3 linked regions of the Arabidopsis thaliana genome follow. The protein of the gene in region 1 interacts with the protein of each later gene in a pairwise test. Each region holds a gene or a part of one and is shown in the gene's direction. Other genes may lie near its edges.

What was found. Proteins that work in one complex are often made in the same cells at the same time.
Region 2: the proteins of ARAC9 (region 1) and AT2G34150 interact in a two-hybrid assay, tested with the Arabidopsis thaliana proteins (one study listed by BioGRID).
Region 3: the proteins of ARAC9 (region 1) and WAVE2 interact in a two-hybrid assay, tested with the Arabidopsis thaliana proteins (one study listed by BioGRID).

The regions. Positions count from the first base shown.
Region 1 is NC_003071.7:18,427,389-18,431,426, forward strand, and holds ARAC9 (RAC-like 9), read left to right. Parts: upstream 1-1,732; 5' UTR 1,733-1,887; coding exon 1,888-2,022; intron 2,023-2,107; coding exon 2,108-2,195; intron 2,196-2,440; coding exon 2,441-2,550; intron 2,551-2,650; coding exon 2,651-2,714; intron 2,715-2,819; coding exon 2,820-2,884; intron 2,885-2,979; coding exon 2,980-3,045; intron 3,046-3,146; coding exon 3,147-3,248; 3' UTR 3,249-3,494; downstream 3,495-4,038. Other genes in the region: CKB4 (casein kinase II beta subunit 4), read right to left, coding at 48-157, 243-461, 556-778; AT2G44700 (Galactose oxidase/kelch repeat superfamily protein), read left to right, coding at 3,627-4,038. UniProt on the Arabidopsis thaliana protein: Inactive GDP-bound Rho GTPases reside in the cytosol, are found in a complex with Rho GDP-dissociation inhibitors (Rho GDIs), and are released from the GDI protein in order to translocate to membranes upon activation.
Region 2 is NC_003071.7:14,418,726-14,425,241, reverse strand, and holds AT2G34150 (SCAR family protein), read left to right. Parts: upstream 1-1,770; 5' UTR 1,771-1,982; coding exon 1,983-2,137; intron 2,138-2,380; coding exon 2,381-2,544; intron 2,545-2,550; exon of another isoform or gene 2,551-2,836; coding exon 2,837-2,960; intron 2,961-3,067; coding exon 3,068-3,164; exon of another isoform or gene 3,165-3,195; coding exon of another isoform or gene 3,196-3,255; coding exon 3,256-3,323; intron 3,324-3,401; coding exon 3,402-4,998; intron 4,999-5,085; coding exon 5,086-5,181; intron 5,182-5,550; coding exon 5,551-5,655; intron 5,656-5,750; coding exon 5,751-5,810; 3' UTR 5,811-5,979; downstream 5,980-6,516. UniProt on the Arabidopsis thaliana protein: Involved in regulation of actin and microtubule organization. Part of a WAVE complex that activates the Arp2/3 complex. Regulates trichome branch positioning and expansion.
Region 3 is NC_003070.9:10,189,600-10,196,951, reverse strand, and holds WAVE2 (SCAR family protein), read left to right. Parts: upstream 1-1,738; 5' UTR 1,739-2,051; coding exon 2,052-2,188; intron 2,189-2,662; coding exon 2,663-2,826; intron 2,827-3,228; coding exon 3,229-3,352; intron 3,353-3,445; coding exon 3,446-3,575; intron 3,576-3,663; coding exon 3,664-3,731; intron 3,732-3,809; coding exon 3,810-5,988; intron 5,989-6,112; coding exon 6,113-6,205; coding exon of another isoform or gene 6,206-6,232; exon of another isoform or gene 6,233-6,305; coding exon 6,306-6,422; intron 6,423-6,549; coding exon 6,550-6,600; 3' UTR 6,601-6,815; downstream 6,816-7,352. UniProt on the Arabidopsis thaliana protein: Involved in regulation of actin and microtubule organization. Part of a WAVE complex that activates the Arp2/3 complex. Regulates trichome branch positioning and expansion.

The DNA.
Region 1 (4,038 bases):
CAAAAGATCAATCAGAAACAAAGATGTAGAAGAAGTATCTTGCTTACCATAGCAGCCATTCCTTTAGTAGTGAGAATATAACGAACATGAATAAGACCATATAACATCTCAGCAGCTGATTCCACCATCTCATGCTGTTCTTCAGTAAACATATCACCTAATCCAATAAACATTCCTCCAAATTATACAACAATTCTCAGACAAAGTAAAGCCTAAATTCATCAAATGGACCCTTCACTTACCATTTGATGATTCAACATCTAAAATGAGATCAAGTGCATAATCATAGTAAGGAACTTGACCACTCAAACCACAGAGATTGAAATCATCTTGTATATAATCTTCATCTACTTCACAGAAAAACTCATTCCCTCTCAAATTACAAAACCATGAGATCCAAGAGGTATCATCACCTTCTGAACCACTCACATCTGATCCTTCACTATCCGTGTCAGATTCAACTGCATCCACAAAGAATCAAAATTTATTAATACCCAAATCAGAAAGTACTAAAACCACATGAAATTGAAATTGAGTGAGATATAAGCAATTAACCATCGGGGGAACGAGAATGAAGCTGAGATTTAGCAGTTGAAGTAGAAGGGACAGAATCTTTGTCCTTAGAAGTGAAAACCCTAGATGTAGAAGGTGAAGATTTCTTAAGATGTTTGTCTAAAGCATCATTGATTCGTTTCCGATCAATAGCTCCACCAAGGATCTCCGATCTCGATGATCCACCACCACCCATTATTCCTCCTCCACTCCGATCCTTGTACATAACTCGATTCGATTCCCTCAATGAAAAAAAACAAAATTTTTCAGCTTTAGATTCTCAAAGTCTTCGACTTTCTTATCATCAGAGGAAGAAGAGGGGCGGATAAATCTAGGGTTTGTTTTTTCTTCGATAGTTTGATCACAGAGTAGAAGAAAGAGAGAAGAAGAGATAAAGAGTGCTCTGCTTTTCCCTGTGGTTTTTTCTCATTCTCTACTGTTTTGTTTTCTTCTCTTTGTTTTTTTTTTTTTTTTTAATCATTGTTTAATTTTTTAAAATTCTAGTATTTAGAAATGGGCTTTTCGGATGGGCCTTATGACACTGACAGTTGTAATACAAAGATTCACGTAGAAGGAAACATTTTTTTGTACTTAAACTATGATTCCAAATTATATCTTAGGAAGAAAGAAATCATAAAATTCATTTTTTTTTGTATCAACACGGTAGTAATAATGGACTTGCCTTTCCATCTTTGTTAATGATGATGTGTTTGGTGGTCGATCCATTGTCCAAACTTAAATCGAAAAAAAAAACAAATGATCTAGAGATAATTAAAATTACACATCTTGTAAAATTAGTCATGTAAATGTAACTGAATTTACAAAATTTGATTTGATATAACCACCACTTATTTTCATTTTGCTGAAACATTTGGACCTTTGCATTTGCATTGATTGGTGAAAAAAACAAAGCACTATAATTTGTACAACTTTCATTTCTACCAATTATAATTTTTTTTATCAAAAGCGTTACTAAAAGATTTTTCTCTCAGCTTTTTTATACATTTTTTTTAATATAACTGTTTTTTAGTAATTTTATACTATTTCAAAAAAAGTTAACAGATAAAAGTTATGTACAGCTATGTGTTACCAATTAGAGTTTTTTTGGAAAGAAGTAAAATATGGCAAAATCTATCTAAATTCAAAAAATAGGAAAGAAATCAAACCCACCGAATAAAAAATTATTTTTAAGGCGTTTTGGCTCTCTGACAGCTCAAATTAAAGTTGACTCCTTTTTTACCACTCAAGTCTCATTCTCATTCTTCACTTGAACCAGAATAAAACCACAGAAAGAGAGAGAACAGGGTAAGTAAAATCAGAGAATTTTCTCAATCAATGTCAGCTTCAATGGCTGCAACATCAACATCATCAGCAACAGCTACAACGTTTATAAAGTGTGTCACTGTTGGCGATGGAGCTGTGGGCAAAACTTGTCTTCTTATTTCCTACACCAGCAACACGTTCCCCACTGTATATAAATCCATCTCTCCCTCTCTCTCTTTTGGATTGCTTTTCTTGATAGCTTTTGGTGACTGTTGAGATCTTGTTATTACAGGATTATGTTCCAACAGTGTTCGACAATTTCAATGCTAATGTTTTAGTCGATGGTAAAACTGTCAATCTGGGTCTCTGGGATACTGCTGGTAAATGCTTTTACCTAATGTCAAAGTTGTTCTTGTCTTTAGCTTTATATCTACAACAATATGTCAAGGTCTAATCTTTTGGTCCTTTTAAAAGAAGTCAGTTGAAAAATTTGAATCTTTGATGCAACATTGTTTTGGTTCTTGAATTCACTATCAGATTTTGCTCATGTTTCTTCAAAACTTAAATGAGACCAATTATGATTCTTGTGTTATATATCTTTTGGGTGATTCACATTATATTACAGGTCAAGAAGACTACAATAGGGTTAGACCATTGAGTTACAGAGGAGCAGATGTTTTCATTCTTGCCTTCTCACTTATTAGCAGGCCTAGCTTTGAGAACATTGCTAAAAAGGTTGAGACTTGAGATTATCTTTCCTTTTACTTTTAATTTCACTGTAATTTAACTTTACAACACTGATCTCATGTGCATATGGATCGGTTTTCTTTCGCAGTGGGTACCCGAGCTGAGACATTATGCCCCGACTGTGCCTATTGTTCTTGTGGGAACCAAATCAGGTTGAAGATAATGAACCACTCTGTTATGTCTTGAATGTTAGGAATCTAACATCAATGTGTAAGTGATGTTATGTAGTATATAAGATGAATTTCTTGATATTGCAGATCTAAGAGACAACATGCAGTTCCCAAAGAATTATCCAGGTGCTTGCACAATCTTCCCAGAACAGGTATGTTTTTTTAAAGATTCTTCTTCAATGTATATGATCAAGAACCATGTTAAGAATCAAACTCTTTTATAACTCAAAGATTGCTTCTTTTATAGGGTCAAGAACTAAGAAAGGAAATAGGAGCATTAGCATACATAGAGTGCAGCTCAAAAGCACAAATGGTAAAGTAACCATTAATGCTTGAGTTACATTTTACAATTAGACCAAATATTTTGGACCTCAATCTGATAAAGAAAGACTTATGATGATGCTAAATTTGCAGAACGTAAAAGCCGTGTTTGATGAAGCGATCAAAGTAGTTTTACATCCTCCTTCAAAGACTAAGAAGCGAAAGAGAAAGATCGGTTTATGCCATGTTCTTTGACTAGTGTACTCAAGTCTCTGGCTTTGGTTTGTTTTACATCTTTTTTAGTGTGTTTCTTCTATGAAGGACTCTTGCAGATTTTAGTATGATTAGCTATCTTCGTTATAAAAGTTTGATCTTGTAGTAGAGATTCTTGTAACAGAATTATAAGCGAATTCTCGTCTATCAGTCTATGTAAAAGAACAATGTTTGTCTTCTTTGAGTTCAAGAGACAACAACAAAGAACCGTTTTAGCGCAAAAAGAAACAAAATAAACCGATTGAAACAGAATCGAAGAATAAATAAACCGGGTTTTGTTTTTTGGCTAATAACCGAAACCGAAATAGAATAAATCAATAAAATCTCAATTCTCTAGTCTTCTCCTTTAAACTAGAGTCGATGTCTAGCTCCAACGAACCACCGCGAAAAACCGACCAACCATCGTCGTCATCGGCATCGGCATCGGCATCGCCGTCATTGTTTTTGTCACTGCCACTGGAAATCATTTCGATGATCTTAGCCCGCGTCCCAAAACGATATTACCCAATCCTCTGCTCCGTCTCCAAGAACATGCGGAGTCTTGTTCGCTCGCCTGAAATTCACAAGGCTCGATCTTTACTCGGAAAAGATTATCTCTATATCGGCTTCATCGACGAAAATTATCGCCCCGTATACGACTACTGGTACACTCTCCGGAGAATCGAGAACAGTACGACCGAGAATCTCTTCGAATCCATTGAGTTCCCTTATCCTTCCGAGCCTAATCGATTTTCCATGAACGCCGTTGGTCCAAAGATCTTCTTCATTTCAG
Region 2 (6,516 bases), 4.0 Mb from region 1:
GCCATCGATGGGTCATTGGACCAATTCTTGTTTTATATTTATGCAAATGATTAATATACTACTACTATATTAGTATATTGTTACTTATACTATTTTATATGTCAAATTATATGAGAATGCTAGTGCACCATTCGATGGTCTGATCTTTAATCAAAGCACATTTCGAGATTTACTATGATATAAAAAAAAACATGAGATGACCGCCAATTTTGTTTTGTTAACCAATTTCGTGTTTAAAATTTATGTATATTTTTCAGCAATGTTGTAGTTTTTATTTAAACCATTGAGTTTTGTAAGTGTCACTTTATTGACCGCCATTTTTTGTGAAGAGTTACTTGTGATTGATAATATATGATGGAAAACAATGCAATAGTATAGCTCATAGAATCTGCGTCAAAGATTACCATTAATGGTTGATAGGAGTAGCAAGTAACAACTTATAAAATATTTAATGGACAGAACAATTTAGGAGTAATAATAAATAATAAATGACATGTGATTAAATTTATGTTTAGGTAGCATCCATAAATAGACGACCAGCTAAAAGTCATGCATTGATCTAATCGCATCACTTATTTAATAATACTATACCTACCAAGGACCATAAGAATTGATTACTTCTAATACTGTGTATTAGCTTGTATGGAGTACTGGAGTAGTACTGTGGATCTTCGATCCATATGTCTGAACTGTAGTTTATAAATAAAATGTATTTATATGTTAGTATCAAGAAAAACGACAAAAGAATTCGAGTTGATAAATTGCTTTGGTTAATGGGAGCCAGATCCAAAACTCTAGAAGCACAGATCTAAAATGCTTGTGCATGATTTATTATTGTGTATATATGCCTAAACGAGGATGGAGTAAGTCACACATCCACATGCATGTGTGCAAGTCCTCAAGTAGTGTAAGATATAGATGTATGAATACATTCACCCACACGCGCACACACTACGCAGCGTGTGTAGATGGAAGATATTATGCAACTCTTGTAACATCAAACTTGATTGTATAGATCAAGGATGCGAGAGGCACACCATTACGGCAATACATACACTTCCGCTTTACTAGATTCATTATGAAAATCTTTGAATTGTACCATCATCATTCATATATAGTTGGTGTCAAAAACAAAAACAAATCACAGCTATAGAGTTTGAGTACAAGTGTTACGTATGTATTGATGCCTCATTTATGGGAGTTTTGTTCTCCAATAAATATGTAGCCAACTCAACAAGTCTATTTCCTCGCAAACGACCAAATTCTCATTCAATGATTCAAACTTTAACGCTATCTAAACTGTAACGCATTTCTATTTTATAATAGAAGTCTTCAAATGCTCATTCAATGATCCAAACTTTAACTTCTAGTTTTATACTCCATATTTGTGCAAAATGTATATGATATAATATTACAAGTAGTAGAAGTTTTTTGTTTTAGTAGCTAGTAGTAGAAGATTAAGCAGAGTAAGTTCTCATTAGATGACTTAAGCATACAAATATAGTATTACAAGTAGGGGTTATACACATGACTAAAAATGTTTATAGTTCTTTTTAAATAATTTATGTTTAGCACTAACAAATTCTTATAAAAACTAAAGTTTATTTTCGGGAAATTATGTAAGTAACAAATGACTAATTTGGATCATGATTCGCTCCATATGGGTAGGTTATGGGTACCTTTCTTTTTGCTCCAAGCCCTTTTTCGTAATTTTCTCTTAGCACTTTTAGTTAAAATGATGACATTGAAAAAGGGAATGGCTTGCGGTGTTAGCAATGTCTCCGAGTCTCTCTTTTCTCTTTTTACAACGAAAAACCTTTTTGTAATCTCCAAATTTTCCCTCTCTCTCTCGTTTCGGCGGTTAAGCTGCCATAATCTCTCACCCACCTCAAGCAACATAACCCACAAAAACTCAATCTTTGTTTCTTATCTTCAAAACCCATCTGATCATTCCTCCGGAATCTTTCTCAAGAACAGAGCAAATGCCGCTTGTTAGGCTCCAAGTTAGGAATGTCTACGGTTTAGGGCAAAAAGAGCTTCACACAAAAGTCGACCGTGAAGACCCTAAAGCGATTCTCGACGACGTCGCCGTTTCTGGACTCGTCGGGATCTTGCGTCAACTCGGTGATCTCACAGAGTAAGTAGTACTTTAAGTCAACTCTGTTTCCTCTGTTTCTTTTTTTTTATAATTGACTTATAAATGTTTTTAAAAAAAAAAAAATCTTAAGTAAAAATGTGACAATATGGAGTCAGTGATCTTCTTTGATTCTCTGTAAAATCTTTAATTTTGCTGTGTTTGGTCTTCTTCATTTGCTTATTTTATGGTTCTCAGCCAATCTTACTTGTCCTGAGTTTTTATGTTAAACTCACATTGTTTCAGATTCGCAGCAGAGATATTCCATGGAATACAAGAGGAGGTAATGATAACAGCATCAAGAAGCAACAAATTGAAGATGAGATTGAAGCAAATAGAAGCTAAAGTTCCTACAATCCAAAAGACAGTGCTTGCACAAACAAATCACATTCATTTTGCATACACTGGAGGTTTCTTTTGTCTTGTTTCTCTTGTCAATCTTCTTTAATGTCTAGATTCACATGTTTGTTCTTTAATCAAAAATTTATATCCTGTTGAGTTTATTGTAGGCCCTAGCTCACATGCCTTTTGCACTAACTTCTTAGCTTAAAATACTCTTTTTTGAGTTTAGAATTTGATGATGAATGATACTAGTAGTCTTTCTTATGGATCTTAATTAAATAAGTCATGATCTTTCACTATTTGAGTTCTTTAGAAAATTTAAGTATAGTTAATGAACATAGTGTTTACATGCTGTTTTAGGTCTGGAGTGGCATCCTCGTATACCAAATGTGCAAAATCACTTTATGTATGACGAATTGCCACCGTTTATTATGACTCCATATGAAGATTGCCGGGAACCTCCGCGGTTACACTTGCTTGACAAGTATATACACCTTTTAACTCTCATTTTCTTTTTTGTTATTACTGTTTCTGCTATGTTTTAGACTGATGATAATAAATATGATGCTGATTCTTAGCGGTTTTTGTCAGATTTGATATAAATGGTCCAGGTTCTTGTTTGAAACGATACTCGGATCCTACTCATTTCAAAAGAGCATCAAGAGCTTCTAAACCTTCAGAGATTAAGGTTTGTTTTAGAGATTCAGTCTGTTAATACCATGTTTTGTAGAGTTTCTTCTTTTTCTTGTTTGCTACCTAAACTTGTATGGATGATGCAGAAGAAAAAATCTATACAACGCGGTCGAGATATATCAAGACTTGCCTCTGTGGCTAACCAGAGTGACAGGTAATGACATTTGGATTTGACATTGTAGAGATGTTTTCATATATGACTCAAAACATGAATATATGATATGATGTTCAGGAAGACATGTACTTCTTTAAGCTTCAGTGGACGAACCTCTACCTCTAAAACTGCTTCAACGATTGAAATTGAGTCGAAATCCGACTTGCAAGAGCATCGTTCTTTCTCTTTCGATTCAAGAAGTGGTGGAGAGAAACCGAAGAGGGTATCTTCTTCTTCAAGGTTTACACCGGGTTCTCGCACCATTGCTTCAGTTCTTTCTGAAAGTGAAAGTGAAAGTGATAGTCCTTCTCAAGATTTAACAGCTCGTGGTTCTTCTAGTGTTAGTTGGCACGAGAAAGCTGAGATAGTGGAATGCAATGTTCTGCAGTGTGCAACAGATGAAGCTCCTGAAGTAATGGAAACTAACTTTGTCTTGGATGCTGAACCGGTATCAAGACTTAAAGAACATTCAGCGGTTGAAGCGGTCCAAGATATCAAACCGAAGGAACTGGAAATGGACAATGAGGATGAGACTGAAAGCGAAGGGGATGATTTTGTTGATGCACTTTACACCATCGATTCAGAATCTGAAAATGATGAAGCTTTCCAAGCCACTAAAGAGGTGCAGAAGAATCTTTACAATGATATTACAGAGCAAGAAACAGAGAAGATTTCTAACAACTTTAGTGTTGATGAGACAAAATGTGCTGCTACATCAGAGCTACATTTATCATCATCACCGGTATATAAATCTGATGAACTGATTCATCAAGATCCATGGGCGGCTTCGGAAATAAGTAGTGGCACTCATAGTTATTCCAATGGCTTCTCAAATCCTTTGTATGATATTAGTGGTATCCAAGAACATCAAGAATCAGAAGAAGTTGAGAGTTCTTGTGACACTGAATCCATTAAAACATGGACTAATGGAAATCTCCTAGGACTGAAACCATCGAAACCGAAAATTATAGCAGAAACTATTCCAGAGATTGTTGAAGACATTGATTCTGAAACCTTCCAAGAGCACTTAAGAGAAGATTATAAGGCTCCTTTTGATTGGTTTACTTCATCTCCTCCACTTGATCACATGAAAATATCTTTCAAATCCTCAGAAACCTTGCCAAGTTCTGAACTACAGCTAAAACTTCCAGATGAATATACATTTTCTTCGTTTCAGTTGGTGCCAGAGACTATTGCTACTTCACTTCCTGATTCTGATTCAGACAAGGACACTTTCTGTAGATCTTCTTCTTACATTTCAGACAACAGTGACAATGACAATCGCTCTGTGTCAATGTCTGAGCAACAGTGGGAAGAAGAATCAGAAGGTATCCGAGAAAGCAAGAGGCAACAAGAGCTCTATGATTCGTTTCACAGAGTCAATGCTGAAGCTTCTTCTCTACCAGTTCCATTTCCAAAGATTGAAACAACAAATGGTTGTTTAGTTGAAAATGTCTCTTACCTCCAAAATCCAGCTGAGCCATTACCACCGCCTCTCCCACCGTTACAGTGGATGGTTTCGAAAATACCGTCAGCTGGATTCGAGGATAACAACAAGCAGTCTCTAAAGGATGCTCTCACACAGGCATTTGAGAAGAACAACAATTCTTTAACTGCAGTCAAGAAAAAAGAACCACACATTGTCACTGTTTCTGATCCTAAACTTGTAACCAAGGTATGGAGAATTAAGTTTTCTTCTCCTTTTTACTGTTTTTTTTTTTTCATCTTTTTGGTATAAGGTATTTTATGTGATGGTTGATAGGTACATCTGAAGAACAATGTGAGGGATTATAAGCAAAGTCATGGCAACACAAATGAGACAGAAGCTGGAGACTTCTTGCATCAAATTCGAACTAAAGTGAGTCTTTTATTCTTGCTTTATATTTTAGCTATATAGAAAATTTCTGTGGTATATGAAAATGCATTCCCTATTCTATTAATTCAAAGTAACCTTTATTAAGGAACATATTTACATAATCGATAATTAAAAAAAAAAAAAACTCAAACCCTTAAAACTAAAAATATATACATTTGTTTTCGTATTTCATTTTTGTCCCGGTTCCCTCTTAATCGAAATGGAAATATATTTTGAACATGTTTTTAGTTTCGTTTGTATAGGAATGAAATGGGAGAAATGATTTTTTGATCCTCCAATTCTCATTTCTGTTTCCACAAAGTCATAAAATGCATTTTTCTTAACCAACAACAACCTTTTGAATCATAACAGCAATTCAACTTGAGACGTGTGGTCAGGACAAAGACATCATCATCAGAAACTACAATGAACACCAATATTAGCGTGATTCTAGAGAAGGCAAACTCTATCCGACAGGTTCCATACATTATTCACATTTATAATCTTACGTTTCAGTTTGCAAGTACCATTTTGGTCATTAAAGCACTTACATTTCGGACTTGTTATATCAGGCTGTAGCAAGCGACGATGGAGAAGGCGAAAGCGATACATGGAGCGATAGCGACACATGACAACATCATTCATTTCGGTTCTCATATGTTTATTGTGTAGTAGATATAGGTCGATTTTGTCGTACGTTTATATTTGTATCTTCAACAAAGAGATAAGGTTCTGAAAAATAAAATAATTATAGAATATGTTACGTCTGAATCTCTAGATGATTATTGATAATTAAACAAACAAAAGAACTGAATTAATTATTTTTTTAAACAAATTATTTAGGTATACATTAAAACGTGAGTTGGCAAATATAGGATCTTGGAAAATAATCATTAGTACTATATAAGTACCCGAAGCCCTAAGCCGTGAAATTCGCTGTGTTCTTTAATTTGAGTCAGTACTTGACACACTAGAAAAAAGATTATGTCCTTGTTTGTACACTTCTTTAAATATTTTCACTTTCTATCTGATACAACAAAAGATAAGCATTTTTTATTTTTTTTTGATCAAAGATAAGCATTTGATATGCTTCTTAGTTCTTACAATTTCACGAGAATTATTTTATACATAATGAATTTCGTTATTAAAGTTAAATTTCTTAAACTTTTATGTTCGGAAAAATTATTTCTAAAAGAAAGAGAATCAGAAATTATTTTGATTGGATCACTAGAGCAAAGCAAAATTGGCGAGACAGCCAGATTTACCAAAAAAGATGCAACCACAAACACTAAAAAGTCTAAAATCAAGTGGGTGACTGGGTGGTAGTCTAGTGGCATT
Region 3 (7,352 bases), on another chromosome or scaffold:
CAATATCAAAGTTGGTGTTTTAGATACAATTGAGTCTTATTATGAGGTTTTGGGTTCTTTTGAAATCCTTTGATGTCTCTTCTTCCATGCAAGTTCGAATTGTAGGATACAAAAAAAAATGTCTCTCTTCTCTTGTCAACTTGAACAAAACCACTTGGAAGATGATTTTCCGTGTTCTATATGCTTAATGACATTACTGCTTCTTGATTTCCTCTTGTTTTTAACCCAAATTGGTCTCTCCCCAAAGTATAATCTTCTGGGTCTTTTTCTTGTAAAATTTGGCATGCTCCAAGATCTATATTAGTAGCTATCTCTTTTTTTTTTGGTTTTTGGTGGTTGTTTGCCTTGTTCACTCCTCCATATATAGTAACTCTTAAACTGTCGAAACATTACCGTATAACATGTTTGTTTGTAGTGATTATTTTAATCGATGTTAATATGCATCAGTTGCAAAAAAATGATATTAATTTTGCATCATTGAATATAAGTGATTTATTATTTGTATCAATTTATCAAAATAACGTTAATATTTGCAACATTTATAATAAATAATTTTAAGTGTTTATATTAATTATAATAACTTATAAAATAATACTAAATTAGTTTTTATGAAACAAATATCTTTATTAATTAATATTAAGCGAACACTTAAATTTAGTTGGGATAGTAACTTTACACTTTTTGGACACCATCTAAAACCAGAATTATGTAACTTTACATATATAAAAAAATTATGGAGGTTTTTTTTTCCTTCTGTGGGAGATATGTGGTATGTAAACAAATTGAATAAACAATTATATCAGTTAGTGCAACTGATGCTAAATCTGTAATTAGCATCGGTTATTATTGATTTAAATTTTGTATCACTTTCTAAATGATTAAAATTCACATATTTGTATTAATATTGTGAAAGTGAGGCAAATAGACCTAGATTTGCATTAATTTTAATGAACTGATGTCACACAAACTAATACGACATCAGTTATTGCAATTGATGTTAAATTATAATTTTTGTATCGATTGTAAATAAGTAATTCAAATTAGTATTTTTTAAATTTTTGTTGCAAGTTAATTGATACAACTAACCTTTTTTGTAGTGAGATTCTTGAGACATAATATCCCTGCCTCTTCTTCTTCTTCAATTGTTGGGGTTGTTCTCCCAATCATAAACATTCTGGTGGATGTAAACATAAAGAGCAAGTGATTTTAACTCTTGTATAGAAAACTAGGAGTCTTGAATGCATTGGAGAAACCACTTTGCATCGGATATGCTTAACTAATTTACCTAGTTCCAAGAATTATAAATGTGGAATTCCACGATTACAATTAAAAATTGTCTACATTTATTGTATCATACTAGAACGTACTATTTGTAATATGTCCATCTCACTCGTTGGACTTTGTTTCAACATGTAACCAACCCAACAATTTTATTTATTGACAAACAAACAAATCCTTACTCAAATAACTACAAAACTTGACGAAACATTTATTTGACATTGACATTCTCTCACTTTTTTTCCGAAAACCACTTCATTTTTAAATTACAAAATCGAACATTTATTCTGTAATCAAAATTAGAATTTAATGTTCATATCGTGCGAACCAATAACCTTTCTTTGAACCAAAAATAAAAATAAAATCCTTCTTTTCTCAAAACCCCATCACGTAATAACACACAAAATACAAGGGTAATTTGGTCTTTCTACTTTTCTGTAAACCCCCCACTGGTAAATGAAATTGGAAAGGAATGGCTTGCGATATTGGCAATGTCAATGTCTCTCTCTCTCACAGTCTCTTTCCCTCTCTGCCTCCAAAATTTCCCTCTCTGTTTTTGAGCAGTTAAGCTGCCTCATCAATCTCACTCACCAGAAACCCATCAACAATCATTAACCTTTTTCTCGTTTTCATCAAAACCCATTTTCTCAATTTCTTCAAAAAAAAACCTTTTGATTCTTTCTCCTAATCCTTTTCCCAGCTCTCTTAATGCTTTAGCCACAAAACTTTTTGTATCTCAATGTGTGACAGTTTTGTACCTTTTAAGAGAAAAAATGCCACGGAATGTATACGGTATGAACCAAAGCGAGGTGTATAGAAATGTCGATCGTGAAGACCCTAAAGCAATTCTCAATGGTGTTGCAGTTACTGGACTTGTTGGGGTCTTGCGTCAGCTTGGTGATCTCGCTGAGTAAGTATTCAATTCGAGCTAATGTTGCGTCTCTTTTGGGTATCTCTACTGTTGAATGATTCTTTGAGCTAGTGGTGAAGTTAAAGATGAGAATCATTACTTTGTGTGAAAGTAATTGCCTTTACTTGTTTAAGGTAATCTAATTGGTGTTTGTAGCTACAAATTTGGGAACCCATTTTGATTGCATGATCCTTTGAAGTTTTTGAGTTAAGCTTTAGCAAAAAGGAAGAAGCTTTATTCATTTATGATTCTATGATTGTTGTGATGTTTCTATCAATCATTCTCCATTTTTGCTGTGTTTAGTTTTGTTTCATGAGCTTAGTTTATGTTTCTTAGCAACTCCTTATGTGGTGACTCTTTATGTCGGCTCTGATATCAAGCTTAGTTTGGGTTTGGAGTGATCTCTGGTTGATAAGGGTCATTTTAGCACAAAGGAAGAAACTTTCTTATCGATTGCTTTTTCTCTTGATTAAGGTTTGCAGCAGAGATATTTCATGGGATACAGGAGGAAGTTATGGCTACAGCTTCAAGAAGCAATCAGTTAAAGATTAGATTGCAGCATATAGAAGCTACAGTGCCTCCACTAGAAAAGGCGATGCTTGCACAAACAACTCATATACATTTTGCATACACAGGAGGTTTGTTTTGTCTTCTTCCCTCTTGTCAATCTTCTTATTGTCTTGACCCAAGGTGTCTGATTCTTGTTAGGTTTCACATTAATTCTTTTAATAAATTATGTCACATCCTTAGTTCATTGTAGGCCTTCACATGCTTTTTCACTTACCCTAAAACTAAAACTTTCTCTGACGAGGCTAGTTTAGAATCTGGAATGATTGAGAAACTAAATCATTGTATCTTCTGCAAAACCTTAAAATAGATTAACTTAAAATTGAATTGATAGTATTAGTTGTTTGGTTCCCCTTGGCAAACTTTTATTTATTGTATTGAAACCGTGGAAGTAATGGGTGGTGAGAAAGTGGTCATGCTTGTATTTTTCTTACTTTATATCTTGTGAACTGAAGGAGTTTAATGGGGTTCAGGTCTGGAGTGGCATCCTCGTATCCCAATTACGCAAAATCACTTAATTTATGACGACTTGCCTCACATTATTATGGATCCCTATGAAGAATGCAGGGGTCCTCCACGGTTACACTTGCTTGATAAGTATGCCTCAAGCTAAAATATTTATATCTGATATGTATGTACTATGTACTATAATCCATCATGTTATACTGATTCTTTGCTTTATTTTCTCAGATTTGATATAAATGGTCCTGGATCTTGCTTGAAGCGATACTCAGATCCTACTTATTTCAGAAGAGCATCAAGCAACCTGAGTCAAGGAAACAAGAAGTTCCAAAAAGATAAAAAGCATTGTAAAATGAAGGTGTGGTTCTCAGATTAAATTGGTAAACCATTTTCTGTAGAATTCTCTTTTACTTGACACATATATATCTGTTTTCTGGCATGGACAGAAGAAAAAAACTTCGTCAAGGAGTCGAGATATGTCACGTTTGGCCTCCTTGGCTAACCAGAATGCCAGGTAAATTATAGATATTGTTGGCATATTTAAGTTTCCGTGCACCTAAAGAATAATTAACTCAGACATAGTTCACTCCAGGAAGACATTTGCTTCATTTAGCTTCAGTGGACAAACCTCTTCTACCAAAACCACCTCAACCAGTGACATGGAAAAAAGATATGATTTTCAAGATCATCATTCTCGCTCTTTTGAGTCCAGAAGTGGTTCAGGCTACAATGAATGCCTTTCAACTGCAACTTCTTCACTGAAGACTGGAGAAAGACCGAAAGGGGTGTTCGTTTCATCCAGCTTGACACCAGGCTCTTGCACTATTGCTTCAGTCCTTTCTGAATGTGAAACCGAAGATGCTCATGATAATTTCCAGTTTAGTCCTTCTCAAGGGCAAGCTGCTCGTGGCTCTTCTTGCGTTAGTTGGGATGAGAAAGCAGAGATAGTGGAATCTCTTGGTCTGCAGACAGATGAAGCTTCTGAAATGGTGGAGGCGAACTCTGTTGTAGATACTCTAGATGAGAAACCAAGCTATGGGGAAGGGATAGGTGGAGTTGATTTCCATTCTAAGGACAATGAAAATGATAAATCAGAATCAGGACTACGAAAACGTGCTGGGATTGATGAGGTAAGAGAGATAAAAAATGGTCGGGAGATTGTGGGAGAACCGAGGGATAGTGAACAAGAGACTGAAAGCGAAGGGGAGTGTTTTGTTGATGCGCTTAATACTATCGAATCAGAATCTGAAAACAATCAAGGGCTTCAAACTAGTCAAGTGAGCAGTTCCTGTGGTGTTGCAGATGAGAGGTTGGAAAAGTCAGTGTGTGAGCAAGAAACAGAGCAGAATTCCTACAGTGTCGAAGATTCTTGCAGATCAATGGATGGGCTTATGGCCAACAGTTTTAAAAATGAAGAGAATGCATCGTCAGAAAATGTATCTGTTGAAATGCATCAACAAAATCTACAGGCGGGTTCAGATATCAACCGCTTACAAAAAAATGATCTTTGTGCAAACAAGGATATGCGTAATGATTCTGGTGGAAAAGATACCATCACATTTACATTTGTGCCAGGTCTCGAGAACAGCTTAGTTGATTCATCAAACCCCTTGATTCATCATGGCCTACAGGAAAATCAAGAAACAGAAGCTGAATCTTCTGGGGATCTCGAAGCCTTTAAAATATGGACTAATGGTGGTCTATTGGGACTGAAACCATCGAAACCTCCAGTCTTGGCAATGCCAAGTTCTTTAAGTCCAGATTGCAAGACCGAGGAAAGGACAGTTGGTTTTGCAGAAGCTGAAAAAGATAAAGCAGATGATCTAGTTGAAAATGCTTCACATAGACATGTTCTGAATAATTCAAGCTTAGCAACGCCAGGAACCCAAAATCCAGGTAGTTCAAATGGCATAGTCATGGGTATTGTAGACCAAAGAGAGTCCCATGAGACTTCTTCTGGAGTTTTTGGACTCAGCCACAAGTTTCTTACTAGTGGTTTCCGCAGAAAGGATTCATTTGCACATGATAGAAAGACTGTACCAGCAACGATTCCAGAGAACGATGAAGTGACTACAGAGAGGAGGAGGTTTTGTGACCAAGATATTAATGAGAAAACCTTTATGGACCCCTTCAGAGACGAAGCTCCTATTGATTGGATCACTTCGTCTCCGCCTCTTCAACACATGAAAATATCTCTCAATCCCGCTGACACTCTTCAGGCTTCGAGACTGAAGCTTAAATTTTCAGATGGAGACAACACTTACAATACCTTTTCCTCCTTCCAGTTGCTTCCAGAGACTGGAACTTCCCTTCCTGATTCTTATTCTGACGACGACACTTTTTGTAGATCATCTCCTTACATGTCAGATACCGATTATCTTAGCGATAATCACTCCTTGTCAAATTCTGAGCCGTGGGAAGAATCCAGTGACAGCCATGGAAGAAAAGAGCAAGAACTATATGATTCTTTCCACGAAAGTAGGCATGTTGATAACAATGCTGAAGCTTCCCCTCTAGGGATCAAATCAGAAAGTTCTTGCGTCGCCGTAAACCTCTCATATCTCCAAAATCCTGCTGAGCCCTTACCACCGCCATTTCCACCCATGCAATGGATGGTTTCAAAGACACCTTCAGAGAAAATGGAAGACAAAACACAGTCCCTACAACTACAAGAAGCTCTCAGGTTTGCGTTTGAGAAGCATATTTCATTGCCTACAGCTAAGAACGAACTGCCTAGCATGGTGACTTCTGCTCCTAAACCAGAAATTAAGGTATGGAGAAGATTTTGACTCTTTCTTCCTACTTTTCTACAGTGTGGGTCAGTTCCATATATTCCAGATGATCGTTTTCAATATAGTTCAAATTACGAATCTTAACAAGCATATGTTCTCATAGGCCCATCTGAAGAATAATGTCAGGGAGGAGAAACAAAGTGCCAACGCAAAGGAGACTGAAACTGGAGACTTCTTGCAACAAATCCGAACACAAGTGAGTGCAAATAGTTCCTTTTTGTGAAAGAAAGTTATATTCTGATGCTTGATTTGTTATATCATCTTTTGCTACATTCTTGGTTTCTTTCAAATCAAAGCAATTCAACCTTAGGCCTGTGGTCATGACAACGACATCATCGGCTACTGCAACAACTGACCCTATCATAAACACTAAGATCAGCGCGATTTTGGAGAAAGCAAACTCAATACGCCAGGTTCATCCTCTAACTTCTGCATCTATATATATCCAAAGCAAATCTAATCTTTATTTCAGAATCTAAGTACTTTTTGTCTTAAATCCAACACAACATTATCTATCACTCACTCTTTTCTTCTTTTCAGGCTGTAGCTAGCAAAGATGGAGATGAAAGCGATACATGGAGTGATACGTAAAAGCCCTTTATCAGATTCCATTTCATCTTTGTAATCTACTCTCTGAACGACATAAATGGAGAAAAGGGGTTCAAGCTAGTCCTGCAAGAATTTTTTGTATTTTGTATCATATCTAATGTGTGGATTTGTGTAGGTGATAGTAAATTTTGTCGAGTGTGATCTGTATCTTCAAGAAAATAAAGTAGTGCAAGAAATAAAAATGAAAGTAAAATCTATAATGCCCATTCATCTTAAGGAAAACTTTCTAGAACTTGGGATTTTAGCCACGAGCTTGCTACAAAAAAAATTCATGACCATAAAGAGCTAAACTTAAATTAGTCATGGACTTTTATCCTAGAGCAACTAAGAAGAATCCATGGTCATAGTTTTTTTTTTTTGTAGTACCACTAAATTTTATAAACAAGATCAACATTTGACTTGATATTACCATCAAAGCAAGTCGGCAATAGCAACATTGAACGACAAAACAAAGTAATGATTCACGTTTACGGTTATTCGATATATTTCAAGTTACGAATGAGAAGCATATGTTCTCATAGACCCATCTTAAGAATATTGTCAGGGAGGATAAACAAAATGCCAATGAAAAGGAGACCAAAACTGGAGACTTGTTGCATCAAATCCAAACACAAGTCAGTGTAATCGATTCTTCTCATGAAAAAAAAAAGTATTTGGATTCTTGATGTTATATCATCTTTAATTGCATTCTTGATTTCTTCCATAGCATAAATATTAATTCAACCTGAGACTCG